Lonchura striata: one gene and its partners. The protein of the gene in region 3 purifies or fractionates together with the protein of the main gene of each other region. This does not show direct contact. Links are inferred from orthologs where the notes say so. Each region holds a gene or a part of one and is shown on either strand. Other genes may lie near its edges.

What was found.
Region 1: the proteins of POLR3B (region 3) and POLR3H purify together in Homo sapiens (affinity purification with mass spectrometry; 8 studies listed by BioGRID and IntAct, with this or other methods). This does not show direct contact. The link is inferred for Lonchura striata from reciprocal best matches to the Homo sapiens genes POLR3B and POLR3H.
Region 2: the proteins of POLR3B (region 3) and protein POLR1D purify together in Homo sapiens (affinity purification with mass spectrometry; 6 studies listed by BioGRID and IntAct, with this or other methods). This does not show direct contact. The link is inferred for Lonchura striata from reciprocal best matches to the Homo sapiens genes POLR3B and POLR1D.
Region 4: the proteins of POLR3B (region 3) and POLR2K purify together in Homo sapiens (affinity purification with mass spectrometry; 3 studies listed by BioGRID and IntAct, with this or other methods). This does not show direct contact. The link is inferred for Lonchura striata from reciprocal best matches to the Homo sapiens genes POLR3B and POLR2K.

Annotation. Positions count from the first base shown.
Region 1 is NC_134607.1:58,368,364-58,375,387, reverse strand, and holds the start of POLR3H (DNA-directed RNA polymerase III subunit RPC8), read right to left. Parts: upstream 3,008-7,024; 5' UTR 2,816-3,007; coding exon 2,705-2,815; intron 1,548-2,704; coding exon 1,451-1,547; intron 1-1,450.
Region 2 is NC_134604.1:69,173,869-69,180,827, reverse strand, and holds the start of protein POLR1D, read left to right. Parts: upstream 1-3,945; 5' UTR 3,946-4,050; coding exon 4,051-4,076; intron 4,077-6,959.
Region 3 is NC_134607.1:20,708,950-20,716,342, reverse strand, and holds the start of POLR3B (DNA-directed RNA polymerase III subunit RPC2), read right to left. Parts: upstream 3,018-7,393; 5' UTR 2,981-3,017; coding exon 2,915-2,980; intron 2,418-2,914; exon of another isoform or gene 2,391-2,417; intron 1,509-2,390; coding exon 1,476-1,508; intron 954-1,475; coding exon 897-953; intron 816-896; coding exon 751-815; intron 394-750; coding exon 318-393; intron 1-317. Other genes in the region: TCP11L2 (T-complex protein 11-like protein 2), read right to left, coding at 6,766-7,010. UniProt on the Homo sapiens protein: Catalytic core component of RNA polymerase III (Pol III), a DNA-dependent RNA polymerase which synthesizes small non-coding RNAs using the four ribonucleoside triphosphates as substrates.
Region 4 is NC_134603.1:21,794,257-21,801,638, forward strand, and holds the start of POLR2K (DNA-directed RNA polymerases I, II, and III subunit RPABC4), read right to left. Parts: upstream 3,015-7,382; 5' UTR 2,827-3,014; intron 909-2,826; 5' UTR 906-908; coding exon 845-905; intron 136-844; coding exon 43-135; intron 1-42. UniProt on the Homo sapiens protein: DNA-dependent RNA polymerase catalyzes the transcription of DNA into RNA using the four ribonucleoside triphosphates as substrates.

The DNA of each region.
Region 1 (7,024 bases), about 38 Mb from region 3:
TAGATAGAAAAATGGGAATAAGAGATCTGGTTCCTAACTGGTTTGTACATATTCTGGCAGCAGCTGGATCAGCAGTGTCCTGTTCCCAGCTCCTCAGTTTTGCAAGAAGTTCACAGAGAGAAAGTGTAAGATGATAAACATGGAGCATGGCTGGCTTCTGATTAAATTATGATGGAAGCACAATGTCTCACAGTCAAGAGTATCAGTTGAAATTATACTTTCTTGTAATACTTCTGCCTTTTATATTTGTCTGCAATGCTGTATTTCCATTAAATTAAATCTTCTAAATCAAGTATTATCAGATTAAACAAGGTTCTCTAACATAACTGGATTTTTCCTCCAAGCTAGATAAAATGTTTCTAACTAAGTACATGGCACTTACTACAAGAATGCTACACTAAGACAATCGCAGTCAAACAATGCTTCTGAGAAATTAAACATAATTTTAGTTGTACCTCCTCAGTGCTCCTCTTTTACATAAAACTAGGCAGTGCATTAAAGAAAGAGTTATTACCAGACACAGCGGGATTTATCAAAGTGTTACACCAGATTCTGAAAGCAGACTTTTTTCCCAAACTCGGATAGAAAAGTTCTCTTCTTTCAGTTCAAGGAGTAATTCTAAGTTGAGAAGCTGAATGGAGATTAAAGCAAGCAGGAAAGCCTATCCTCCTTCAGTATTAGAAAAGCTTTTATTTTTAGGAAATGAGTTCTACTCCCCTTAGACAAGGGGAAGCACATAGAGTCAGTGCAGTTCCCTTCTAACAGGAGATATTTCATGTGTTCAACCTATGATTTCACACTGTAAACTGAAACCAGAAAAATGCATCTCTTACCAGTTTAAACCTTTATTTTAACTTTAAAAAATGAAATTTGCTTTTATGCACTTACTTCCAGTTTTCACTCAGATTTGCCAAGAATCAAAGTAAAGAAATGAGTAATTTCTTATTAAAAGAAGTCACTAGAAATGTATGATGAACCAATCTAGTTTCTACAAAAGTGTTGTAAAACTCCCAGCTAGTACAAAAGCATTAAATGCTGTGCAAATGCTACATGTAGAAACAGGTTTCTTATCCTAGCTAGGGAATATGCTTCATAAAGAAAAAATATCAGAGAAATGCAAACCAATTATTACAACTTATTTTCTATGTGCAGACTTTCTACCTTCAATTAAATTAACCCTCTTCTTACCCCACACCTATGGCTCTAACTGTAGAACAGAGATGGGCTGCTGGAGAAGGCAAGAAGGACTGGCTATTTAAAGCTGTATTTGTACCCAAAGCAGCAAAGAAAATAAGAGACTTTCACCATGTTCCTCTTGCCCTCCTAACAGGAACAGAGCTAAGGCTGTCAACTTAACGTTGTCACTGTCTCTAACAACTGAACTCATCTTACATTTCCAGATCATTAATTAAGCTTCTGCAACACAATGTAACTGAGGAAAAGCACTTACCCTTCGTATGTGATGCACCATCCCCAGGAAATATGTATGAATCTTCCAGTTTTGTGATATCATACAGACAGATGCAGAGCCCAACATTGTATACAACCTGATAAAAGAAAAAAAAAAAAATCAAGAGCAGTAAATCAAGCAAACCACCAGGTAAAATCAAGCAAACTATGGAATTCATACATTTTGCACACCTTTTCAAAGGGCAGCAATAGAGGGACGGAGGTTATTTTGGAACACTGCCTTCAACACCACCAGCAGCATAGGGAAACCCCAATCCAAGTGTTGTGGGAACACATTTTCACTGGCACTGGAAAAAACGCTGCTACAAAGAGAAACCTTTGGGGAAATTGTCAGCGGTGAGAGAACCTGAGCTGCTAAGACAGTAAAGAACTCCCCATCATTCACCAGCCTCAGTTTGTCCAAATGCTAAACACGCTTTTTGCTAGAGTTGCACTCTCAGAAGCCTCCAGGCTTGCCTTTTATCTTCATTATATCAGCTCTGGGGAGACACAGGGCAAACTCTTGGTTTCTCTGCTACTTCTGAGACAGCTTCACTGTCTATGAAATTTGAGGCATCCACCAGTCATCAGTGGATGAAGGAAGACTTTTGCTTTTCATAACCTAGATCCCTTCAGCTTGCTCTTTTGAGCTCCTTTCACATTTACAGCTGCATTTTTTAGTTTTGCACCTGCTCCATGTTGAAAGCCGTACACTTATCACAGTCCTGGGACTGCACAGGGAAACTCTGACCTCCAGGGCCACAAGAAAACACTTTTTATATGCTGCATTAAAGACTAATTTCTTATTGCCATCATGTATTTCAATTAATAAGCACAGGCTAAATCAGCTACTAACAGCATCATTTCTCTTCCAGTATTAGTGTTCGACATGTGTTTATATAGTTGTTTTTTTTCTTTAAATTCCCCACTGGATGGATTAGTTTGCACTTGTTTTTCAGGCTGCGTTTTGGATTGCTTCTTTTAACACAAACCAGCAGCTGCTCTCACTTCTCTTCCGTGCTCCTCTGCCCCATCTGGTGCCTCAGTATCTTCCCATTACAACATCAGCCATTAGAAAAATGTCCCCTTTGAGATGATACGTGGCTGTCTCTTTATTTACAGTCGCGGGGGATGGCCTTCACATCCAAACAACTCTGACATCTCACCCGCGCACCTCAGTAGGCACAAACACAAGGAAGGAACGCTCGGGGACGTTGCGATGCCTACATCAACCTATACGTGACCCCTGTTTTACCTTATTGGCCAATTTCTTGTTTAGCTCTTCAGCAATAGATTCGTTCAGTTTCCTTTCAAACTGCCAGGGAGGAATTCTTACAGTGTCAGTCATCTCCACCAGGACAAACATGGTGGCGGGGGGCGAGGAGACGCCAACCTCGGGAATTGGAGCGCTGCGAGGGCCAGGCTGGGAAGGGGAAGGCGCTCCAAGGTGCGGGGCCACTCCGGTGGGGCGGGGTCCCGGCTATCCCGAAGGGATCGGGCGCGGGCCCGGGAGCGGGGCCGGGAGCGGCCCTCAGCCCCGCCGCACGCGGAGCCGCGCCGCGCGCCCCCGCCACTTCCGGCGCCGCCGCAGCCAATCGCGCTCGGCTGGCGGGTCGCGCGCCCTGATTGACAGCCGCAGCCGCCATTTTGTCCCTCCTCGGGCGGGGCGGGCCCGGCTGCCCCCGGAGCGGGGAAGGATCCGAGGATCTCCGGGTTTGGGCTGGTTTTGGCCAATATAAACGCGGAAAGGGGCTCGGCACCCTGGCGTCCTTTGCAGGGATGCTGTGTAGTTCGCTCCTTCCCCTCCACCTCCAGCAGGTGGGTACCTGGGCGCGCTCTCCTGTGCCACAGCTAGAACAGTTCTCGACTGCGGCTATTCTGGTTTAATTTATCATTTTCGTAACCTTCAATCCAGATAAGGCAGCAAAGATCACAAAAGCACGGAACAGGTCAGATAGGAAGGGGCCACGGTGGGGCATCTGGTCCAACCTCCCTGCTCAAGCAGGGTTGATAAATAACACAGAGAATAGAAATTTTCAGACAGTCTTCTATGTGCCCTGTGCAGATAAAGAATGCCTGCTTTCTAATGCTTCAGATTGTGCTAGAAAGTGTTTTCCAGACATTTTGATATGGTGTTCATCCCAAAGCACATGGCACAGGAATGGCATCCAGAGGGTTCTTGGGCTCCCTCTCCAGTGAGGGAGACTCCACAGCCTCTCTGGGCGATCTGTTCAGCGGCCGGGCACCTGCACGGTGAAATTGTTCTTCACGGCCAGGTGGAACTCCCTGGGCACCACTTTCTGCCCCATTGCTTGCTGTGCTATTGTTATGAATGGATTTGATGTCTAAGCTTTTGTCTGCTTACCTCCTCACAGTTTGGAAGTTCCCTTGTTCATGTAGTTGTTAGTTCCACCCCTATGTATTTGCCCTATACCCAGTTTGCATCCCCAGTTAACTCCCGGAGCCTCTGTATCCCTTCCTGCCGTTGACACCTTTGTTAAAATCCCTTATAGAAGAAATCCTACCAGTTTGTTTTGCTGTTTCTAGTAGTTTGAAGCCCCTTCTGTCCCTTACACTGCGTCGGTTAGTTCAGAAGCTGCTCCCAGGAAGTTGCTCCCAGGGAAGATTTCCCGTTTCCCAGAGAGCCTAGTGTCTACTGTATATCAATTTTTGGACTTCAACATAAATCGGAATATAGCCAGACAACAAGCCAAGAGCAGAGACAGCAAAATGATCCACACCTACGTGCAGGGAAAGTTTCCAGGAGCTGGAGAGGACCCGCAGAATTTCTGAAGCAATTGCTGTAAGCAAAGGAGCCAGAGCGAGGTAAAGCCCCTAGATCAACGAGTTGCAAAGTGAATCTTTTGACATATCCTTCAAGGGCAAAGACTCCGATCCGTCGCGAACCCCGAGCCCCCACCCCCATAGGCTATCCTTTTAATAAAGGCCTTCTCAAGAAAGGAGCACAAGGTCTCCTGGCCCGTTTATTTACTTCACTATTGCTTGGCACCACCAGGAAGAGTCTGGCTCCAAACTCTTGGCGCCCTTCATGGACATACACATTGATGAGGTCCCCTCTCAGTCTTCCCAAGCCTGAACAGGCCCAGCTCCCTCAGCCTTTCCTTGGAAGAGAAGATCTCCAGTCCCCCCTTACCCTTGTTACCCTCTGCTGGACCTGCTGCAGGAGCTCCATGTCTGTCTTGCACTCAGGAGCCCAAAGATGAAAGTCTCTGCCATTTCTTCAGCTGTTTGCCCACATCTCCAGCAAACCTGGGTGGGTTTATAATCTTTGCACCTGGAAGTCCCTCACAGCTCTGTCTGCCCAATGCTTAGGTCAAGGATTTTTTCAGGGACAAACTGCCACCATACAGAGCTGGCATAATTTGTGAGTGTTAATTGCCAAAGAGAAACCAACCCCCATGGTATAATTTTTGAGGCCTCGGTGTGTTCTGCAGTGAGGGAGAAGCAGCATGAGGGATGGCAGAAAACAAGGGGGGTGCACTAACGTCTAAGGTTTGTCAGGGAAAGTGAAAGGAGGTTGTTTGAAGTGTGCTTAAAAAAAGATCCACCAGGAAAACCAAACATCCCTGGCTGACAGTGAAAACTGCACTGTCAGCATCATGGCTTTGATGCTAAGGCTAAGTGTGTCATCCCCCACGCTCCCCAGCAGCATGTGGTGGGACAGTAAGGAGAGCACTTTAGGTAAGAAATCATTAAACATCGAGTTGTCTGGGAAAGGGAGGGTGAAACAAGGTTGGAAATACCCTAGTTAGGCCTCATTAAGAAGGTACCTGTCTTGGATAAGGAGGTGTTGATTTCTTCTTAATTACTGTGTTTCATTAGGGTCTATTAGGTTGTGGGGATGTTGGTTTTTTTTAAATAAACATGGCTGGTCTGCCCATGTTTGGCATGTTAGTATTAAATAGTGGGCCCAGAAATAAGATTTCCCCTGTCTCCTGGGAAAAGCAGCATTTTTTCTTGGAGCAACATCTACTGTCTCAGCAAGGAGCTTTGCTGCCAGCACAGCAGACACCACTCTATCAGAACACCTCAACCCAAATCCCTAGTGTTTCTTGCTTTTCTTGTCCTACTTCAGGGAGCCTTACAAAGGCTCCTTTCTCCCACACTGCAGTCACAGCTGCACTAATCTCGGCACAGCACAGTTTTGTTGGCACATATGCTGCATCCCTTGCTGTTCTGTCCTGGCCTCATGTAGGTCTGGCAATGCAAGGTTTGACCTTTACCTAGTGCAGCTTTTGCAGGTGTCTATAGCTACTTCACTCAGAAGAGGAAATTGTTCTCAACCCTGTCCTGACAGCAGGGGAAGAAATAGCTTTGGTATCAGACAAAGAGAATTTAGGCACTGCTGGTTTTGGCAAGGTGATCACTCTGGATGCTTGTATATAAGAACTGTAGGGTTAAGTAGGGGCATGAGCTCAGGGAATAGTAGACTGAAATACCTGGGGGAGCATGGGAGATGGAGAGAAGTGGATTTAGACAGAGTCATATCATGCTTCCATTTCTAGCGCATTCTTGAGCTAATATTTTCCATGCTTCCAATAACCATGCCCCACTGGGGGCTCTTGGGTGCCCAATACAATCAGTCACATCTCCCTTCAGCCTTATCCACAGCCCCCAAAAAACAACTGTGTGAGCAGCAGGTCTGCAAGGCTTTGCTTCATACTGTCTTGGGTCCCGTTGGTGAGGTCTTTCGTATGCTATGAAGTGCTGACACCAAGCAAGATGTGCAGGATCTCTCTCCTATATCAGTTCTGTGATTGCCAACAAGGGCTGAATGCTGTGGGCCACTACTCAGTAAGGACAATAACATTCTTCTTCTCTGTGCAGCTGTGTGTTTTGCTGAAACTTGCAGGTACTTTGATTTCATGCTGGGGAAACTGAATTGTGTGCAGAGAAGGCTGGTGATGGCAGTGTCAGATAAGCTTCACTGCCTCCGCTACCAGGCTACAATCACCCCAAAACCAAGTCTGGATTTCAGTGTTTCAGCCTCCACCAGGAACATCCCAGGCTGTGGGAAATGATTTCCAGTCTCACTTTCTTCAGGTAGCCCCTCCCCAATCCCAAGTAGTGCATGCCTGGGCTGCCTATGCATGACAGATGTTGCTCTGTTCCCACCTAGGTTTTCTCCTTGGAGGATTTCCATATTTCACAAGTGCTGTCTTCAATGTAGAAATATAAACAAAAGCCAAATTATGCTCTGTAAAATATGGGTGTTGCCTCAGCTAATGGTAGTGCTCAGAGTTATACTATATTTATGGCTGCTGCTGAAGTGTCTTGCTGCTGGAGATGATGTGAACAGCTTTGTTTTGCTGACTTGTCTCCTCCCAGTACTACTGACGTGGTGAATACCCAGGAATCCACAGAGCCTGTACATACCTGTTTATGCACAGCCATAAAGTCTCTCGACTCTCTTTCAGCAGTATTGGGGCTTTTCCAGTATTTCAGAGCATGGTTCTCAGTTGCTGGGCTGTGGGGGTTTTTTTTGTTTGTTTTTTTTTTTTTAAGCTTTAGCTGCTGGAATCCAGGAGTTGAAGAGTTTTTCTGTCCCTCAGAG
Region 2 (6,959 bases), on a different chromosome or scaffold from region 3:
CTCTTAACAACATGCCACAACTCCAGAGCAATATCAACTTGCTTACTTGAAGCAAAAATGAGACTGCAAATATTGAGCTATATAACCCCAAGTTTCCACATCAAAAATAGTTTCCATTATTTGAATGGAAAAAATGCAAACCAATTTGAAATCTTGTACATTCACAAGTTATCTGACTTTATATCAAACAGCTGCATGCTTTGGGTTTTGTGTCCACCACCTAACACACAGCTCAGCAGGAAAGACTCTGCAAGAGATTCTGCCCCTGTTCCAGCCCGCAAATTATTTGCTGAACTGACATCAGCTGAAATAAGCACCCATGAGAACATAAATGACTGACATCTCTGGTACCACCAAAGTGCTTCAGAAACAAAAGACATGCCTGTAGTACTGCAGAGCACATTGCAAGAATGAAGCCAGGTCAGGTACAGCACCGAGACCCCCTGTAACACAACACTGGGGCTGGGGACATCTCCACATGTGTCATCAAGGTGCAGCCCAGCCCCATCAGCCACCTACACTATCTCATACAGAATACAGAGTAGTCAGTATGAAAACACATGACAGGTTCAGCCCATGAATTTAGCAAACATAAATCCCGAAAACACTTACATGCAGGCTTATCATTAAGCCTCATTGCAAAAGAACTATCTGGATGTTTAAAATCAAGCATATGCAAGCATAAATATCTACAGAATTTGAACAAAAAGAACACAAAAAGTACACTCCATAATATTATTAATTTTTACTGCTCCATAGATACCTTAACCTATCAATTATATAACTTAATACTAATATTTTAAAGCATTTTCATCTTCAAAAGGCACTAGAATTTCTAAAGGACAAACTCCACTGACCTAATAAAGCAATTAAACAGCATGCAAGTCAATGGCGTCACATTAAAAATGCTTCTGCAAACCAAATCAACAAAGAATTTCCAAATACCAGAGAAGCCACTGCCATATCAAATAGACAACCAGCTTCCTCTGGTGCCTTTTACACCAGGGAGCATTTTAACACGAAATAAATGTTGTTTTCTCATTAGTTACAGCCGTTCGTGTCTAGTAGCTCTTTAAACAAACAACATTTTGCTGATGCAAGGCAATAATTTGTATTTATTTAACATCTAGTACACATTTCACTTTGATATTGCTGGTATAACTTCTTCCCAGTTGCTTTCAAATATATTAACTTTTTTTTAGAAGTACAGAAAAATGAGATTAAATAAGAGGGGGGTATTTTGGCATATTTTCAGACATAGTTTTAACTGGTAGCTAACAAACTTCTGCTGTTTTTTCGTAATATAAATATATTACTAAAATATATATCCATAAATATATACCAAGATTGAGACCGCTCAGTATGGGTAAAGGCTTACAAAAAAAGAAACTTTCACTGAGGTGATTAGTGCTTCCATGGTAGCACATAATAAACAAATGCCAAATGTTGCAATGCCAAAGCCACCATTTTTGGCAGGACAGGTTTTAGTAAGCTTATTTTTTAACCCATCTCAGGAGAACAGTATTTTTCCACCCAATCACCTGCTTACATTCCTCTTGCAAAGTTTTGTCCCTAAACTGCCACATTTTTTATTGTTTTGGTAACAGAAAATTCAGGTGCAGTCTTAGGAAAAGGTACTACCTTTGCAAATCTCAGACCTGAGTCCAAGGCCCTGGGCTCCCTCATCCTGAAGTCACCAAGCAATGTAAAGGGTAAGTATAGTTAGAAATTCAGAACTGAAAACTCATGGCAAAATTATGAGTTTTAAGATCCATACATTTTCAAATTGCAACAGAACAAGCACTTTAAAACATAATATTATGACCTTTTTTATTTAAAAAAATCTACTTGGGCACAGTAGTGTTATTTGCAGCCTGATGACTCTGGAGTTAATAATTTTATATTGTACTGTGTTCAGGAGAGAGGATTCCTTAGATATCTGATAATTAGAAAAAAAGAATAATTATAAAGGACTCCTATTTAGTCTTACAGTTCTAGCAAGTACACTGATATAACTTGCTTCCATTTTAAGGAAATTTGTTTTAATAAAGACAGGGCAGCATATGGTACTAACATGTTTATTTTCCAAGTGGAAGGGACACTAACCAAAACCATCTGATGTTTCTTCATCTGATGTTTCTTCCTAAGCCTCCTTGAGCTGGATTGCAGCTTAGAATAAAGCATTACAAAGCCAGAAGAAGTGGGTAGAGGAATAAAAAAATGAGTAATTCAAAGTCTTTATCTAATGAGAGCACAGTTCAGACCAGTTCTTATTTTGAATATAAGTTTAAAAGTACTTATGATTGGAAATTTATTTCCAGAGACTATCAAATGTAGTCCAAAGCTAATCTGTCACAGACATTTTTTACTCTGCACACAGACAAAAACCAAACCCCTAAATCATGTAATTAAAAGAGGAATTAAAGGAAGCTCAGAAGTACTTAATAGATTTCTAGAGAAGCAAACAATCAGTACTGTGCATTATGAACACAGTAAGAAAAGTCACCAGGGACTACCAGATTCACCCCCACCAGAGCTCCAGGAACGGTTTTCTCAGTTAGTTGACCAAGTACTATGATTCCATCAAGAGCAATGGTAATTTTAAAGTACGCCTTGTTAAAAGTATAAAAGACGAAAACTTTTCTAACCACATTTTCAGTGCTAAGAGCTAACAAATGAGGGGACAAACCAGGGAGTGCGGGTCAGAGCTCCGAGGGCTAGCGTGAACGTTTGGAAACAGCTGCCAACCACACGGACTCAGCGGCATTTCGCAGGCAGCCCCGAGTTCCTCTGGCGCAGCTGTAAAACACACAACCTGAAACCCGCTCCTGCAGCAGGGGTTCGCTCGCAGCTGTTCTCTGCCTCCCCCGCACGCAGAAATCTGACTCCTCTCCAAGAAAGAGCTTCTTTAATGAAGCCACACGAGAGCAGCATAGGTGTATCGGGGGACCCAGAACCAGGCGCTTTCCAAGTGGGTCTCCAGCACCCGAGCTCACAGCTCAGCCTCGCAGAGACGCGCTGCAGGGGCCGCCGGGCTCAGCCCCGCCGCCGAGCCGGGGGCTCCAGGGCGGGGACGCTGCTCCGAGGATCCCACCTCAGCCTCAGCCACCTCAGCACGGCGGCTCCGGAGCTCTGCCCACTCCCGTACTTGTTGCCTGCGCAGAGCTCAGCCCGGCGCCGCCGCCCCCGCGGAGACCCCCGGTGCCGCTCGGCTGAAGGAGGCTGAGCGGGGCTGAGCGCCCGGCACCGCGCGGGGCAGGGGAGTTACTCACCGCGCCGGCTCCGCGCAGCGCTCTCCTCCTCAGCCGCGCCGGCTGCGCCCGCCCCGCCTTAGGGGAAGCAAACTCCGGGCAGCAGCACTTGGAGAACGTGTCTCGTCGGGCCGGGCCGGGCCGGTGCTCCCGCCTCCGCCCCCCGCCGCGGGCAGCGGCGCGGCCCAAGTGACAGCGGCGCTCCGCCACTCCGGCGGCGGCCCCGGGCGCGGGGCCGGCCGAACCGCAGCCTATGGCAGCGGGGCCGGGGCGGGACGCGCTGGAGCCCGGGGCCGGGGTGTCCCCGCCGCTCGCCTGATCGGCTGTGCGGAGCCCGGAGCGGTGGGGAGCGCGGGCGGGGCCGGCGCGGAGGAGGGGCCGGGTGGGGCGCTGCCCGCCCGGGGCTGCCCGCGGACCTGTCCCCGCCTGCCCGAGCCCTGCGGCCGCGCCCAAGGAGCAAACCCAGGGCGTCTCCGAGACTGAGAGCCCCAGCGGCGCTCCCACCCTCCCACACTCAGTCACCGCCCCGCGCCTGCTTCCCCCGCCCTGCCGGCGGGGCACGGGGGTCCTGCCCGCCAGGGAGCCCACCGCCCCGCTCTCCTTTTGGCGGGGGGCGCGACCACCGGTGCCGCAGGTGCCCGGCGGGGTGTGGCGGGGCCCGGCTCGCCCCGCCCCGGCTCCTCCCGCCGGGGTCCTCGCCGGCCCCTACGCCCGCCCCGCTGCCACGCCCCCCGGCCGACCGCGGGTGATGGCGCCGGCCTGCCCCTGAGGAGCCGCAGCGGGGAGCGGTGGGGCAGCCATGGAGGAGGACCCGGAGCTGGAGAGGTAGGGGGGAGCGACAGCGCGGGGAGCGGTCTCGAGAGCGAGCGGCCTCCACGCGGCTGCTGCGCCGCTCCGGGCCCGGCAGCGCCTCCCGCGCCGCGGGGCCCGGGCAGCGCGGGGCTGCGGCCGGCCGGCTCCCCCGGCCCGAGCGCTCCGCAGAACCGGCCCCGAGCTCCGCCGGGCTCTGCCCGCTGCCCGCAGACAGCCCCTCCTGTGGGCGTGCGGCCAGGGCGCGCCCCGAGGGCAGCGCGGCCTGGGGCTGCCTCTGCCGTGTCTTCCGCACAGAGCTTTGGGTGCGTGCTGATGTCGCTTAGAAACAGGATTGGAAGGTCTTGGATGGTTCACCCCTCATTAGCTACAATTTGATGAGTTGTGGACTTGGCAAAATAAATTTTAAAAATCCCAAAACACCTTGTGTTGTTAGAGATTTCAATTTTCAGTTGTGCCCTTTGACTAGTTGTTAGAATTGTCGTGTTCTTGTATGAGAAAAATACAAAATGGTTGGTAGTTATTTTGTCAAAAACTAAAACTGTTTTCTATTTGGCATTTCGTTGGAACCAGTGGATTTGTCTTGCTGCACGTTTTGAGTTGCAGTGCTCTCAAGCAAACACTGAGGAATAAAACATTGATTTCCATATTAGGATACTCAAAGTAGGCCTCTCTTGCTTTTGTTTTAGGAATAGACTTTTGGTGTTTATATCACAAATGTTTTGCAAAACAGTGCTATTTGTTTGATGGGAATTTGTTTTTGCAAGCTTATTTCTGGGTTGTTCATTTTCCTTACGGCTGTTTAAAACAACTGTTACAGTGAAGTGATGACCAGAAGCTTTCTGAACTGTTCTCATGGTTCTCTCCTTTAACTTTTAAGAAACCGTATCTGGGAATGCTTACCGAAAATAACTTTTTTCTATTTGTATCTGGCAGGTATTTGAAATGTGCCAAAAGCAATAGTACTGAGACAGTGGAAGGGCTAGAGCGCTTAATGCTTTCTAAGAGGCTTTTAATTCTTGCTGAGCTGTTTCTGTTCTCAGATCATTAGTTTAATAATTAAAGCTTCTTTTGGTGTATGCATGAATGTTATTTTTACTAGTGCCATTCTAAACTTAAACCTTTTTCATTCATGGCAAGTTGAAACCATGCCACTGTTCTTCCATGCTGTCTTCTGGTTGCTGCTGCCGTGCTGGGGGCCTGGGGTTCTCTGGGCAGTTCAGGGCATAGCTGACCTCACCAGCTGTAGCCAGCTGCTCCACAGCCACCTCCTGACTGATGCTCTTCTTCCCAGAAACTACATTTGAAGTTTTACCTTCCTCAAAGGCTCACTCCAAGTTAGGATTTGCTATTCCTGTTCTGTGGCAGTGTGGTAAATAATGAGGATGAAGCTCAGTGTCACTTGTCGAAGTGGCACGGTAGGGTTTAGCTGTTTGGTGTCACCAATCTGTGTCACTGTGCACCTCAGAGGGTGTTTAGTCGGCCCCAAACACATTATAACTACAGTGTAGTGCACTTGACAATTGGCTCTTCCTGTCCTCGATCCACCTATCATCAGTTACTTTTTCATACCTTAAGTTTTCATGACAGCTTACTTTGATAGTAGCACCCTGAACTGAATTCAGTTTGTGCTGTGTGCATTTAGAGGGTGTACTTTGGCACTCTAAATAGTGCTTCACTGTACAGTCTTCAGTACAGAGCCCTTCCAGTCTAACAGAGATCTTTCTTTATCCTTTGTGTTACAGATGTTATGTCTTAGATTCATACTCAATAACATACTGATCATATCATCCTGTGAATAGTGTAGTAATGGCAGTTTAGGCTTATAATTTTTAAGGGTTTTGTATTATGGGTTTAACATACAAATAATAGTGTTTCTGTTCTGTAGCCATAGTATTAATTCCTTTAGTGCATTTTTAGTGTTCAAAAATGGGTTTATGTGGAATATTTTGAGAAGTCTGTCTCTGAATCCAGGCTTGTCTTGCAATGCAGACTTAAATAAAAATTCAAGGTTTTTGTACATGTGCTTTTTATTTAATTAACCATGAGGGAGAAAGAAGCGTAATATTTTTGTGCATGCTTTTTCAGGTCAGAAATTAATTTTGTGTCCCAGTATTCCAAAAAGTGATCTGTTAAGTCAATCGCCCTATATTTTTGTTACTAAGAAGTCTTTTCTTCTAGCTTCTTTTATTTTTATCCTTACTGCCACATTTCCCAATATTATTTTTCAGTTTTACTGTTTCTGACTCTCACTTGATCTTGCTTTTGATGTTTTCCTCACTTTAATATGAAGTGAGGTTTTCCTCGAAGCTGAGTACTTATAAGTTCCTGTGTGACTGTTGCATACAGAATGCAACAGTCTGTGGGTTTTAAAACTCTAAAAGCTATAAATACCACAGATGTGTAAAACAGTAATATTTGCTACATTCTACTGAACTACATCCTCTACTCCATCTCACCCAGTAACCTCTGATGGAAGAAGTATGAACTAAGATTTTCCCCTGTGAACTTGCTGGTACATCAGTGAAGACCCTGAGCCTTAAGGTTCCATGTGATTCTTAAGAAAATTCTAAATTATGTTAGCATATGATTAATGGTATTTGAAGTTATGATGTAAGAAGGAGGTGGAAAAAGGGAATCAGCTAGTAGGAGCTGTTCACTTTCTTTCCTCTGCAAGCACCTGAAACTGCTTTTCCTAGTTTATTTCAACTAAATATACACTGAGATATTATGTAGGTCACCATTTTCATTCCTGCATAAAAAATGAAATCTTTCTTCCCCCTCTACTTCCTAAAGTATTGCCATTGTGGTTCTGTATGTTTGAAGCACAGAAGATGCGTTGTTTCTCTTCAAATACAGAGGAAGTGGCTTTGTTATACTGTGTGTCCATATCCTTCC
Region 3 (7,393 bases):
ATTATGGCATGAGGACTTCAGCTCTGTCATGAGGAGAGCCACAAGATGAAGCAAGAGAAGTATACTTTTCACTACTTTCATAGAAACCCACTCAAATTCACCTAACACAAAATACTGAATACAGGAAAAAAAAACCCTCAACAATTTAGAATAAAATTAAAAATATTTATGTAATGATGTTTCAGTCTCTGAAGCTTGCTTTTACAGTGATGGTGGAATGCAATGCACTACCAAATGTAACACACATGTACTCAAAATTACATGCAGCTATTTTCCAAGACAAAAAAACTCAACAAGACAGATGCAAATATTAATACCTCATGAGGTGATACAGGTCGTGTCACATTGAAGCTTTCTTCCACATCTGGAGTACCCACATAGATATTGAGGTACCTGTAATACAGTTTCAAAATGAGCAATGAGGCAAATATTTTTCAAAGAATCTGAAGGAAGCAAAATTTTACATATACTGAAAAATTAAATTATTTTGATGAACACAGTTTGACAATTTGACAATAATGACCAATGATTCTTCCTAAAGTAACTCACTGTATTTGAGTTGTGGTCAAATTAGTTCAAATTTAGCCTGCATGTGCAGTAAACCTTTAAATCTTCCCATATTTCATTGCATAAAGTAGGAGATAAGTCATGAAAAACACCTTCTTGATTTATACCTACAGAAGTGCTTATAAACAAACCCCTGAGACAGTACTCATGCTGCTACTGATATGGAAATCATCTCATGCTTACTTCAGATACCACATTGGGTCGGCATCACTTGTCACTTTTTCATTTGCCTTCATGATTTTCTTTATCTGGAGGAGAAAAAGAACAAAATGGAACCATGGCCTTTTCTGAGTACTAAGAGCCACTCTCCCCCACCCAGGAAAGCCTACCTCAACATTGATGAAATAGTTGAATGAGTCTATGTGCTGCTTCACCAGTCCTTTCACCTGAAAAATAATGCACGCAGCAAATAAAATCAGCTTCAGTAACATTAATCACATAAGGCAGAAATTAAGATATAAGCCTTTATAACTGGGTTTGGATAACTGTGCTAAATTCTTTCAGCTGACAAACTTCTGGGAAGTGGCTGGATGCTCACTCTGGTTCTCCACTACATTTTCAGGTTTACACTGGAACTGTCATATAAAGAGCATGGATAGCATCTCTGAGAGCCAGTAAAACAGGAAAAATAATCTGGAAACATTACATATATACACTATGGACTGAGAATAACCACACCAAAATGCAAACCTCTAGGAGGATATCTCCACAAAATAATCTTTAAATTAATCAAGAAAACAATCTATGGAAGAAGTCTACTGATAACTGCAAGGAACTAAAACAAAAGGCAAAATCCACAGAAAAGTGAGGACAGGTATTCTGGGAAATAGTAAGAGCCAGAAGAAAGGAATGTGAAGTTAGAAAGGAGATGAAATAGTCACACCATGAAATGAGTGTGTAGCACTAACCTTCAGAAATGCTGGAAGAAGTCTCCATTTTTCCTGAAAACAAAAACAGTTTGAGACATCTTTCCAAGGACTAGCCAAATATCTAACATGCCTGAGCCTCTGTCTACATGTTTTATTCCTATTGTTGTTTTTTGAACGGTAACATTGTTTAAAATCAGATCCATTTAGGAAAAAACCAAGAAACAACTGTCTAAAGCCAACAGAGGTGGATAAAAATTACCTGGATCATCTCAGTAAACCATACAAGCAGTATTTGGGATGCAATTGCACACGGCCTTTCCTGAGAGTAACTTCTGTGAAAATATAGTTTTCTGAGAAAACTCCTTAACACCATGTCCTCATTTAAGACCAACTAATGTTTTTCTGGTTTTGTTCTGTTAACACTGTAAATTATATTTGTAAAAAGGGAAGATTTCCTACAACATTTGCTTTACAAAATACATGCAAGAACCTCAGTCCTGGGAGCAGCTGTAACACTTACCAGGACCCTAAATCCTACAGAGATTTAGCAAAAGTACTGACAAGTGCTAAGTGTATCGAAGTTCCTACAAACTTTCTCCCATCTCTAATCATTAATGAGCATAGGGAACATCTCTATGTCAGCCCCATGTTTTCCCCACCACGGCAGTGCAAAAACTTGCATATATCTTTGGCTAGAGACAAAATCATTTATTTAGGAGGAGTGTTCCCAGTCCTCATATGCTTCTCCATATACTACCATTTTAAAATACTACAAAATTAATTAAACCAAAAACACCTGTAGAAAGTTGTTAGCTTTCTTCTACCCACAGAAATGTTGATGGTGCTCTTGGCTTTCAGCCTTCACTGCTACTGTTTGTTAATCTACTAATCTTGCTTGTGATCCCAATTTAACATCTAATAGTGGCAAAGCTAATGCAGTAAAAAGAGACGTACAGAATGGTGTGGCTTATACCACTGGTCCCTTGTGGCTGATATGCAGTAGCGTTTACAGTCTGGAAAGATGAAGAGTGCTTGATTTTTTATAATTTAAATGCTATGTCTAAAAAAAAGGGGTTGAATCTGTTAAACAGTAATGCAATTAAACTGATGACCTAAGGATGAGACTAATGGTTTTAATTTTAAGTAAATATTTCAAGGCCAGGCTGGAAGGAGAAGGGTGCAGCGGAAGGTGTCCGTGCCATGGCAGGGGGATGGAAGGACACGAGCTGTGAGGTCCCTGCCACCCCGCGGGACACAGCCCGGGCAGACGGGGCCCGGCTTCACGAGGGGCTGCCCAGGGACAGCTCGGACCAAGCAAACCCCCACCAAACACCCACACACACCCAGCGGCGCAGCACGGGCAGCGGCCGCTCCACGTGTGCGCCGCCACAAGACTCCTTCCCCCCCAGCCCGGCTCGGCTCAGCCCGGCCACGCTCCGGGAGAGCCCGAGGCGAGCCCGGCCGCTTGCCCCGCTGACCTCCACTGTGTTGACCGGGGCCGCCGCCTGCTCCGGGGTGAGCGCACCGAGCCCCAGCGCCTCCATGGCCACCCGCGCGCCGCGGCGCTGCGGCGCAGCGCGTCCCCCGCGCGCCGGCGCCGCCCCGAAGGTTCCGGCCCCGCGCTGCCCGGGCACCTCCGAGCGCTGAGCGCGCCCAGCCCCCGGCAGCCGCTGCTCCCTCTGCCCGCGGCCCGCCCCTCACAGTGCCCGGCAGCCGCTCCTCCCTCTGCCCGCGGCCCGCCCCTCAGCCCCCGGCAGCCGCTCCTCCCTCTGCCCGCGGCCCGCCCCTCACAGTGCCCGGCAGCCGCTGCTCCCTCTGCCCGCGGCCCGCCCCTCACAGCCCCCGGCAGCCGCTCCTCCCTCTGCCCGCGGCCCGCCCCTCACGGTGCCCGGCAGCCGCTGCTCCCTCTGCCCGCGGCCCGCCCCTCACGGTGCCCGGCAGCCGCTCCTCCCTCTGCCCGCGGCCCGCCCCTCACGGTGCCCGGCAGCCGCTGCTCCCTCTGCCCGCGGCCCGCCCCTCACGGTGCCCGGCAGCCGCTCCTCCCTCTGCCCGCGGCCCGCCCCTCACGGTGCCCCGCGGCCCGCCCCGCTGGGCCACTGCAGAGCTGGCAGCGCCCCGAGGTCTGCCCTGAATCCCCGCCGGAAGGCGGCGGGGACATGGAGCAGTCGGGCTTTAAATGGCTTTCCTGTATTTTTTCGCATGTAAAGCAACGCGGGGAAACAGCTTTTAGCGTTGTTGTTATTATTGACTGCTGTAGCTGAATCACCTACAAACCTGCTCGTTCTCTTGTACAAGGCTCGGTGCTTAGAGACACCAAAATCGCAGTCAAATGGGGGGCTACTCATCTGCCCCAGTTCAAGATGAAACAAGAAGCACTAGTGATCTCTGCACATTCCTGTGGCAGTAAGGTTTTGAGCTACATATATATATATAAATATAATAATTGGCAAGATCTAAAAGCAGAGTGTGAAATCAGTGCATACAGACATCTATCTGCTGTGGCTCGGGTTCCTCATGAGTAACACTGACAGGGTTGGGTCTGAGCTCCACCCATCCTGGACACTAAGGCCCCTACCCTGAAGAGGAGTAACATTTCAGACTCCTTCCATTTGGTCTCCTGCCTAAAGGAACAGTCAGTGGAGAATTTGTTTCATACGTGGCAATCCATGGTTAATCCATGGAAAGCCTCTGTCGGGCACAGGGAGAAGCTTGGAGAAGTTCTCAGAGAAGCCAGCCCTGCAGTCCACTGCTCCTCCAACTCTGCCATGCAAACCCAATACTTCCTTCATCCAAGTTGTCAGATTTAAGCAGACAACTGTCTTCAATATTATTTGTACAGCTGGGTTAAACTCAGTGCTCTGCCAAAGGAGCTGCTTCTGAGAAGTAACAGAAAAACAGTCACAACAGAATAGTGAAGTCATTTATCTTTGGCATTCAACAATTTGTTGCATTTAATAATGTTCGTATAAATGACTTTTCACCACTGCTAGTATCACAAACAAAATTTAATGCATACAAATCCTCAAAACTTATTTTTTAATAAAGCTGCTACAGAATGGCATCTTGTTTCACAAGGACAACTTCTGAGTAGAGGCAAGTGCATTTCAGCCACAGTAGCATAAACAGCATGCAACACGTGACATTAAACAGATGCAATGTCCCTGTTGGAAACATTAAATTAAAACACATTAAACAATCACTTGAAACACAGGCCATGCTATAAAATGCCCTTTGCAAGTCACTTTAATCACCAAACCCCTCCAAAAAATGCTATGTTTTGAGTATTTACTGGTAAAAACTATTATGACAGTTTTCCCAGCTCATTAAAGAGCTAAACTTTGTGTTTATTTGTACAATAGAATGGATATAAAACACTATAATTAAAAGTTCATAATCATATTAACACCTTCAAATGTTCATAAAATCCTCCTTTGGCTGAAGTTCAAAATCATGTAGGTAACTTCTAATATTGTAGCAAATCACTAAGATTCATTCCCTCTTCCTGCTTTTGAAATGCATTCTTCTCTTAATTATTTTGAATTGCCTACCAAAATTTCATATTTATCTGAGCAAGCCTGGCTTACCTAGTGGCACAGTTATGATAGTCTAAGAGTTCCTTTTTTCTAGGTTTTCCAGGAAACAGTTCCCTTTAAAATATGTATTCATGTTTATTTTGTGCAATATTTTCACAAGGGGTAGAACAGAAGTGCACTAGAGAACTTTCTCTAAAAAGGCATTTTGAAGAAAGTTTTCCTTAACATTTACTTGTGACCAAAGTCCTTGGACACTGAAGAACTGAATAGAAGTAATTTCCTTTGCTAGAAATGGACTACAAAACCACAGTGCTAATAATGCCCAGGATTTTTTAGACCTTTATAATAGACACTGTAATGTACATAAACAATTTGTGTGACACATTACACTTTTACAGGTTATTTTTGTCTCTTCATAAAAATAGATTGTAATATAAAACATTAAAAACAAGCTCTAACTTGTACCACACTGAGGTTTTCTATATATGACATCTTAAAATGAGTATTATATGGTAATATAGTAAAATATCATTTTCAAGTAAATTATTCAATTTCATAGACAAGAACATGTCTATAATATGAATTCCAGCACTATCTGATAATCCCAGTAATCTGAAAGATGCAAGATAAAGTCTGTGTAAACTTAAAGAAGTTCCCTTCCACCTTTCTCCATTTCAATTCTATTCGTTTTCTGTATGCAAGATTCCCAATGCCTTAAGTGGGCACTAAGTATTGGGGCCCAGTCCAAAGGAATTGGAGGGAAACAGGAGCATTTCTCACACACTCCATAAAAAAGTGAATCTAATAATATTTTCAAAAATGACTCATTACTCAACTTCTTGCTTTCAGGCCTAAGAGTATCTTGTGAAAAATTTACATTCTATTGGATAAGGGCATGAAAGGGGCAGCTCTTCTGTGGTACACTGTAAGGTCAGGGTTAAGTGCTTTTGGGGATAAAGGTTAGGAAGACCTAACTTAAAAATACTGAACACCCATCTATTAAGATCAATGATCAATACATACACATATTAAAGATCTGTATGACCTCCACTGAATAAACAAGATGCTTATAAACACTTTATATACAGAAATTTACTCCACCCCCCCACCATCATGTTTCTCAGGTGTTTATCATTAATACCAATTAGAGTTGAGAAGTTCTGAATTATTCCTACTTGAAGTGGTGAATGCTGCTTCTGTAACTGCAATCCTGCAAACAGCTTGTAACACTGGCTTTCCTTAATGTAACAGAGGCAAAATTCTGGGTCCAGTAATTGCAGGAGGACCTCAACTTTGCCTAGTATGAACCTAGGATTGGTTACTAAAGCAGTTATGCTATACTGTCTTCTTCAAAGTATTCTCAGAAACATAATTGATGTCCGAGATGTTACTCTACAAAAATACAATGTAAGCATAGTACATTTTATCTACAGTTGTTTTGTAATTTCCTAATATGCATTGCTATATGTAAATATATTTGAGTTGAAAAATAACATTGTTTTGATGGTGGCAAAAAATCAAGTACATTGCCAGATCTTTCCTACTGCAAGTCATAATAAATGCTTGCTATGGAAATTAATAATTCACTGGCTATTACAAGTGACAATCCATTAAACAAACAATTTTCTATTAAAATATATATATGACCTTGACATTAATTTCTTTACAGTGAATTTCAGAAACTATCTGTATACATTTTACAAGACCTTTCCCCATCAACAGTCACTGGAGTAGGCTGTTCTTAGAGATCTGTGACCTCCCCACTGTCTTGGAAGATTAAAAAAAGGGTACATTTTTTAATTGCTAGATGTTTTGGCTTCTGTCTTCTCCATTGCTGCCTCAGGAAAAAGCAGTTTTCTAAGTATGTTTGCATAGAATGGTCCATACACTTTTTTATTGAAGTTTACAATGCTTGCATACTGAGATCCCAGAAACTCTATCTCTGTCTGAATCACAGAAAGGCCTCCTGGCATAGTAGGCATACACTTCTGAAAACTTGGAAGAGCAAGCAAGCTTCTCATGAAGAGCTGGATTCGTTTGTCTGAAATGGAATATAAAGTATGCTCAGAACAAATGTCACTTTGTAAGTACCCTGCACATCAGCACAGCAAAAAATCCAACAATGTAATGAACAACTCTTTCCCAAGATTGTTTTGGGGTGGGAAACAATACTGTAAGCTTAAGTTTAGCTACTGCAAGGTGGACACAGCATAAACCTACTGCAACAAGTTACATTAATTAATATGAAGTAGACTCAAAGGAAGGAAAAAAACTCAGAAGGTTTAAACCCAGAATGGATAGAAAGAAGACTAAACAATACTCATTTTATCTAAATTCTTCTCCAAAATACTAGGCTGCCAAGGCGTGTCTCTACATGCACTTATACAATTATTTCTTGATGTGACTAACCACACTCTGCAGCAT
Region 4 (7,382 bases), on a different chromosome or scaffold from region 3:
ACAGCTTTCCAACGGCACTCAAGTGTACTTGTAAAAGGATACATCTTTTGGTCCTTTTCTTGTACATTATTCTGTAGCCACATTCTCTGCATCTGATAGGATCTCTTGCCTTTATTTCATTTTCCGTATGACATTCTGATGTTATGGAGGAAGAAAAATGAAGTGGGGGCAAAGAAGAACAGCACTGTTAATGCACAGATAACTTTGAGAAGTTATGACAGTCAAATTCTTATTTGTGGCAAACAAACATAGCAAGTGTAATGAATCTGTATCAAAAGCTCAATGATAAGATACAGTGAAAAAAAAAGAGAAAATAAAAAGTAAGCTTCACTTATATTTAAGATAAAAGCAAATCTTGCTAAAAATCACCCAAATATTACTGCATAGAACACATTCCACACTTGATACTAGATCATCTACTAATGAAAATTTTAGTTCATCCCTCCAAAGCCCAAAGTCTATTGTCTTAAAAGACATAATATTCTAGGGATACCTGAAAACCACCAATTTTTAAGTCATCAATTAATCTACAGGTAAGAGAGAATCTGACTACTGTACTTCAGGGAAAGCTGAGTGCCCTAACAGCACTGTCAATAAAACATATAGAGATCGAGGAGCTCCACACAGCAACACAAGCTCTAGAGAATTATCTCCACAACACTGCATATGTACTCCATATATGTGTTACCATCAATGCATAAAGCTTTAAACATCATCAGGATATACACTGCAAGTATTTGTATCTATGTACCCTTCAGTATAATGACTAAGCACTATTCATTATTAGAACACTAAATCTCCAGTAACAAGTAATAAAAAAAATCATTAAATGTCTTTTTTCTACCTCCACAAATATAAATCATTGGCTGCTGCTTTGGAGGCTGAACGTCCTTCTGTGAATCCATGTTCTAAAACAAAAAATACACAACATGCACATTAGCTTGGGTTTGGGGTTTTTGGGTTTGGTTTTTTTTTTTTTTTTCCCAAGGCATACACAATCATTTTAATATCTCAAGCTAAACATAACAGAACATGAAATCACTTTCTTTCCTCCTTCCTCCCAATGTTAGGAATTTCCCTGCTGGAAACATAAAATTCAATAATTTCTTATATGCCACTCATGTAACAATGGTGCTAACAAAGATGGTAAGCCTTGTCATCTTTCCTCCCTCTCTGACACACTAGCTAACTCATTGTTCTAAGGTATTAGAAATATTGGGAACAGACTGTAGGTAGAAAAATAGCAGAAATTAAAAAGCAAAACAAAAGGGAAAAAACCCTGAACAATGAGGGGTCATGGAGATAAAATTCAACCCTTCAAATCCTACCAAATCAAGAGTAATAACTCAATGCTATTCTCCAAATACTTCTTAATGTCCTATAATCGCTTTGATTGTTCAGACATATTTGAAGACAAGTATTTCTTCATGGCATCAGACTAAATAGTTGCATATACTCCACAAACACTCCTCCAAGTTTTAAGTAATCCTATCCTACATGTAAATGTACATGCAACCATGAATTTTGAGGTGGTTACTGTACATAGATAAACACTTTTTCCCCCACCCAATTCAAGTCTAGGTGAGAACATTAATTATTTCCTATTAGGTTTTCTGAGGCTGCTGTTTTCCGTATTGCTGTTCTGACATAGAGGAATTCCTAACCCTTGTGCCAGTAAATAGCCTTCTTGATGCTTCCTTTGCTTCCCATGAGAGAATGGCTCTCAGATGCTTTTGCTTAACATTACAGCAAAGATTATTTCCCTCATCTTCAGAATTTGTTTCATTATAAGTTCAGCTGGGAAGATTATGATACTGAAAACAGGACAGGGACATTTCATACTTTAGGAGTCTGATCAACACTTGACAAACCATCTTGTTAAAACTCCCACTATGTCACTCCATTTAAGAGAACTTGATAAAATCCATTGACTTCTACAGCTTTCAAGTATGCTACACCATATTCATAGTGGCATCTTAACTCACATGTGCTATAGTTTTTTGTGTCAGCATACTGCACTAAGATATGTGCAGTCACCAATTACCACTGGAAAACAACGGACTCTTCTAAAACACAGAGCTGAACTAAGGTGGATCACAGTTGTAGCTAAATACCTTGGGCTAGTGCTGCTTATGGAGCAAAATTATACTGCTGCAAAGGGCAGCAGTGAACTAAAGTTCTGTGTTTTGCAGGGAGGTGCCATAGCTTAGCTGGCCTTTACACACCCTACAGCCCTATGTGCCACCAAGCTGACAGAGCCAACAGGCCCAGTGATGCACCAACACGTGCTGGGGTGCAGCCAGGATCCACTGCAGAGACGTGGGGGTACCATGCGCCAAGAGCACCTCACCAAATCACAGAATGGGAAAGGCTGGAAGGGACCGAAGTCGGTCATCTGGTCCAACCTCCCTGCTTAAGCAGGATCACTCTACAGCACACGGCACAGGAGAGCACACAGATGGTTCTTGAGCATCTCCAGTGAGGGGAATTCCTCAGCCTCTCCGAACAATCTGTTCCAGTATGCAACCCTGCACAGTAAAGAAGTTCTTCCTCCGATTCAGGCGACACTTTCAATGCCTCAGTTTCTGCCTGCTGCCTATTGTCCTAGTGCTTGGCACCACCAAGAGGAGCGTGGCTTCATCTTCTTGGCACCTCTCGCTTCAGATATTTTTGCATATTAATGAGGTCCTCTCTCCGAGCATCTCTTATGCACCCGTGAAAGAAGCCAACCCGCTCATTCACGTCCCGCAGAGCCCACGAAGAAGGGCTTACAGCCCTTCGCACAGCCCACGGGCCCCAGGCTCCCCATCCCGCCCCGATTCCGACCTCCTCCACTGTCCGCGGGTCTGGCGCGCAGAAGCGAAGGCCACGAGCCTGGTTCCGGCCTGTCCCTGCCCACCGCGGGCACGCCAGCAGCGCCCAGCAGCGAAGGGGACACCCGAAGGCCGGAGCAGGCACCCACCGGGTCCGCAGCTCCGCGGGCTCGCCGCCTCCCCGGCGCCCGCTGATGACGAGCGCCCGCGGGGGCGGGCCGTGCTCCGCCCCGCCGCCAGCGCCGGCCTCCGCGGCGGGGCGCGCCGCGCGGCTGAGAAAGGAGTCGGTATTCCGCTCCGGGTGCTAGCCACCCGCGGGAAAAAAGACAGGGGGAAAAAAAAGGGAAGAAAAAAAAAACAAACCAAAAGAAGAAGAAAGGCACACATTATTTTAAGACACAAGCTTCCATATGAATAGCAGTGTGAAGAAAGTAGGCAGCTGCATGGTTAGGTAACACTAGCCCCAAGGTCCCCGGTATTTTCATTATTTTATTTAGCTGTACTCAACATACTCGGGATAAAGAATAGCCCGCACCAGGTCTGGTCTTACGGCTGCGGAGTTTTAATCCACCGAGGTGTTCTGCCTCAAGGTCCTCTCTGTTTTCAGAAGCATTTTACCTAAAATTCGTGGATAAAGCCGGCATCTTGATATTTTGATGACGTGGTCGGTATCATATTTACCCACATGAAGCCAAACTTATATACTACAAACATATATGTTGCGCATTTTATGTGTAAGGTTCTATTATGAGAGAACTTCATATGTCGGTATTCCCCGATGTGCTGAACTAAAATAGTGCAAGCAAGATTTGAAACTACACCGGTTGCTCTTTGTCAGTGGTTCCACCTCGCTTGCGGTAGGAATTTTGAATCTTCGACTGACAGTTTGTAGAATTAGGAATCTTTGCTGTATTTCTCCCCACCTCCCACAATGTTTAACGAATACTATGTTTTATGAATATGCCAATTTAAACTACTAGATCATTCAAAGATTCCCTAGTTTAAGGAAAGATCTCTTTCTGTTTCTGAATACTGAATAAAAATTGTTTCCTAAGCATCCAAATTAATAAGGATGAGCTTTTATCAGTTGTAATTCATTGATGTTCTCCTACCAGCAAATCACCTTCATACAGGACATGTAACTTACCTAAAACGAACTCAGGTAATAATAAATAGTTGCAGTTTCCCTCATTTTGTGTTTAAATTAAACGTAATGAAATCACAGTAATGGCTTTAGACTTGCTTCTTCACACTGCTCTTAAAGAATAAAGCTCTGGAGTGCCAGAATAAAGCACAGGCAAGAAAAATGGTTTGTAAAAGGCAGAGGTACTGTTATAGGTTACTACTTGCATCCTCTCCTCTGCTACGGAGCTGTGGGTATAGGTGGGTACCAAGAGGTTTAAACAGAGGAGAGAAACAGCCTGGGCTCTTTATCGATAAAGGCACGGTAAGAAATTTCCAACTCCTAAAAAAAGCACCCCCCCCCACACACACCCGGTTATTGTTTCTCTAGGCTTACTGGTATTTTAAAAACTCATTTGTCAAACGGACAAATTTAAAAGGACTTACTAAAAATATCTCCATGAAAGATTCGGTTAATCCCGTGAAAATAATGTTTCCATTATTAATAAAGAAATAATGTAAATATTTTTATTATTGGTATCCCTTAAACATTCCCTTGGAAAAATGGGATGCTTTACCAGATCTTACAGCTTCACTTCAGCAGTTTCCGATAAAATCCGCCCCTTACGGGAGGAGCGCTTTGCTAAGTCCCACTCCCATGTGCTGGTAAATTCCAGCCCTAAAGATGCTCCGTTGGATTTAGAGTAGCAGAGAGCGTGGAGACTGTCTGAGAGATTCCCACTGTACTGTAAAGTGAAATAGTTATTGGGGAATTGGCAGGCAAATGAGAAGAAAGATTTGTGTGTCGAGATGGGGAAAGCACAGGGATACAGGTACTTTGGACAGGGGAAGGAAATGCAGCCGGAACCGAGCGCAGTGCGACTATTTCAGAACGTCTCACCTGGTTTCACTTGTTAGAAGTTGCGTTCTCAGGTCTTGGGGGGTTTTTTTTGTGTTGTTTTTTGGGTTTTTTTTTCTTGGTTGGTTTTTGTTGCGGTGGTTTTTTGGGATGGGAACTTTTTTTTTTTTAACACACTTTGTAGTGTGACACTTCTGTGTATTGCATAAAATGTCGCAATTACGACTTGCTAAATTTCTTGGATATTTTTGATCCAGCTCGCATAAATCCATGCAGATTTGAGTGACGGAGACAGAGCTTGCAGTGGCTGTGTCTCACTAGTAAGCTTCCAATTTTACTGAGAAGGTATTTTAGAAATAAATACAAATATTTGAAAAACAATTTTATTCAGTTCCTGTGAAGCAGACGGTATTACAGAAAGCACTTTCAGAAATCTTCGACTACCTTGAAAGAAGTTTCTAATGTTTTCTCCTTCTAAAAAGGAAGGGGGAGATAGTCCAAGAGCCTTTCTCTTTTAAGCCATAACTGTTACCTTGTAGTCAAATAAACAGATATTCTTTCCCTCGAAGTCAGTTTCCGCCGGCTCTGGGTCGGGAACTTTTAAGCCCTTGTTTCCTCGGCCCCCTCTCAGGCTGCCTCACACCAGGAAGAGCGGAGTTGCCAAAGGGGAAGGCTGACAAATATCAGAACCCACGAACAAGAGTTACGTTACTTAAGCCGGGAGTTTGCATATTAAAATATAGGTGTAGCTTTAAGAGCCAGTTTTAGGTCTCGCATTCAGGTCTGCCATTCCCCATCCCGCCGGTGTGAAGAATCACGCTATCCTTACCGAGCCCAGGACAAACATCCATCCACGTAGTCTAGTTTTGGCGGTTTTCTCGTTTTAGTTTATTTTAGTATGCAGAAAAACTAAAACCACAGCAAAATCCAGGAGCCAGTTTCTGAATTACTACAAGTTTTTTAACAAATTAAACAGGAGTAACCCTTAGGCCATTCACGACAGGACAGGGCGCGGAATAAGTACTCTGCACTGTAGCCAGGGAGAATGGTCCTTCCCGGGATCTCTGGCAAAAAGTACCTGGGGAGACTCTATTGGGTCCATGAGGACCTGTGCGGTGCTGGAGTCGGGGATCCTTCACCGACTGCTTTGAAGGTGATGTACTTGACAAACGCTCTGTGACTGTTTTAGTCCTGGGCTATCCGGTAAAAAGGTAATTAAGCTAATTAACTCAAATTAACTAGTACTCTTATAACCCGAGATTAAAGGCTGCGGCGCAGATAAGGGTTATTAGCGGGGAATGCCCCAGGCACCCCCGAGCCACCCCTCAGCGCCCCCGCCGCCGTTGCCCTCCGCCCTCGGGAGCGCAGCGGGCTCCGGCAGAGGCGGGAAAACCCCACCCTCACCGGGCGCCTCCGGGGAAGCACAGCAGGGGCAGGAGCGACTCAGGGGCGCTTCAAGCGTGGGCTGGGCGCGGCGGGGGCCTCGGGGCCCCGGTATCAGGAGTGAGGAGCGGGGCAAGCCTCGCTGGTGCTCCCTCCCGTCCCCGAGGGGCGGTCTCCTCAGGCTGCCGGCCGGGCCGAGCGCGGCGGGGGCGGGGAGGCAGCGGTTGGTGAGGCGGGTAGTTCAAAGCCGAGCGAGGGAAAGCGGCGGCGGCCGCACGCGGGGGGCCGGTGCGGCTGGGGAGAGCGAAGCGGCTCCTCGCCAAGGGCAACGGGCCCGGCCCGGGCGGCGAGAGCTCCTGAAGCTCCTCCAGCCCGCCTTCACTCCTGCTCCTCGCCCGCAGCCCTGCTCGGGGTGCCCCGCCGCCACCTCAGCTGCGCCCGGTGGCAGGGCGGCCTCCAGGCTCTGCTCCTGTGCCCACCGGTTTGCCGGACGAGAGGGCGAAGCGGTTGCTTTGCTCGTGTCCGGCATCCCAGGTGACTGAGACCCTCGGGTGCTGGTCCTCAGCTACATCTCATTTATCGCCGTTGCTGGGTAATTAGGCATTGCAGTTAACACATATTTGTGGAGTGAAAACTGTCTCAGCTGGGTAATGTTTCTCTTGGACCTCTCTCTTTTCTCTCCACATCCTTTCTCACTTCAGGTTATCACTAGGGGTAAGCAATACTTTGAATACACCGCCTTTGCATTGGAAGATCTTGATTTGCTTCACAAATTAGGGTAAGTGGCCCATATCATGCAGACAGGACTTGGCTGTGTCATCTTCAGTATTATTACCTGGAAGGTATCAATGACTTTGGGGTCAAAGAGCAGTCTTTTTTACAGATACCATATCTGTTTAAATAACAGAGAAAATACTTCTGTATCACCAAAACTTTGTCTTTATCTCTTTTGTAAGCAGTGGTGAACAGTGATTTTAAAAAAGGCAAAAAATGTCTTGTTCCATGCATAAGTGTTCTGTGTGTTACTGAGGAACACAAATTACTAGGAACAGGTGTTTCCATCCTAGAATTTGTCTAAGTTGGAGGCACCACTTACATTGGTTCTAGTAACCAACATTCTTCCTTCTCTAGGGTGCTTGGTGAGACTAAACTTGTTAGAAATTGTTCCCTCTCTAAATTTGTGAATCCTGTCCTAAATTTAGTTT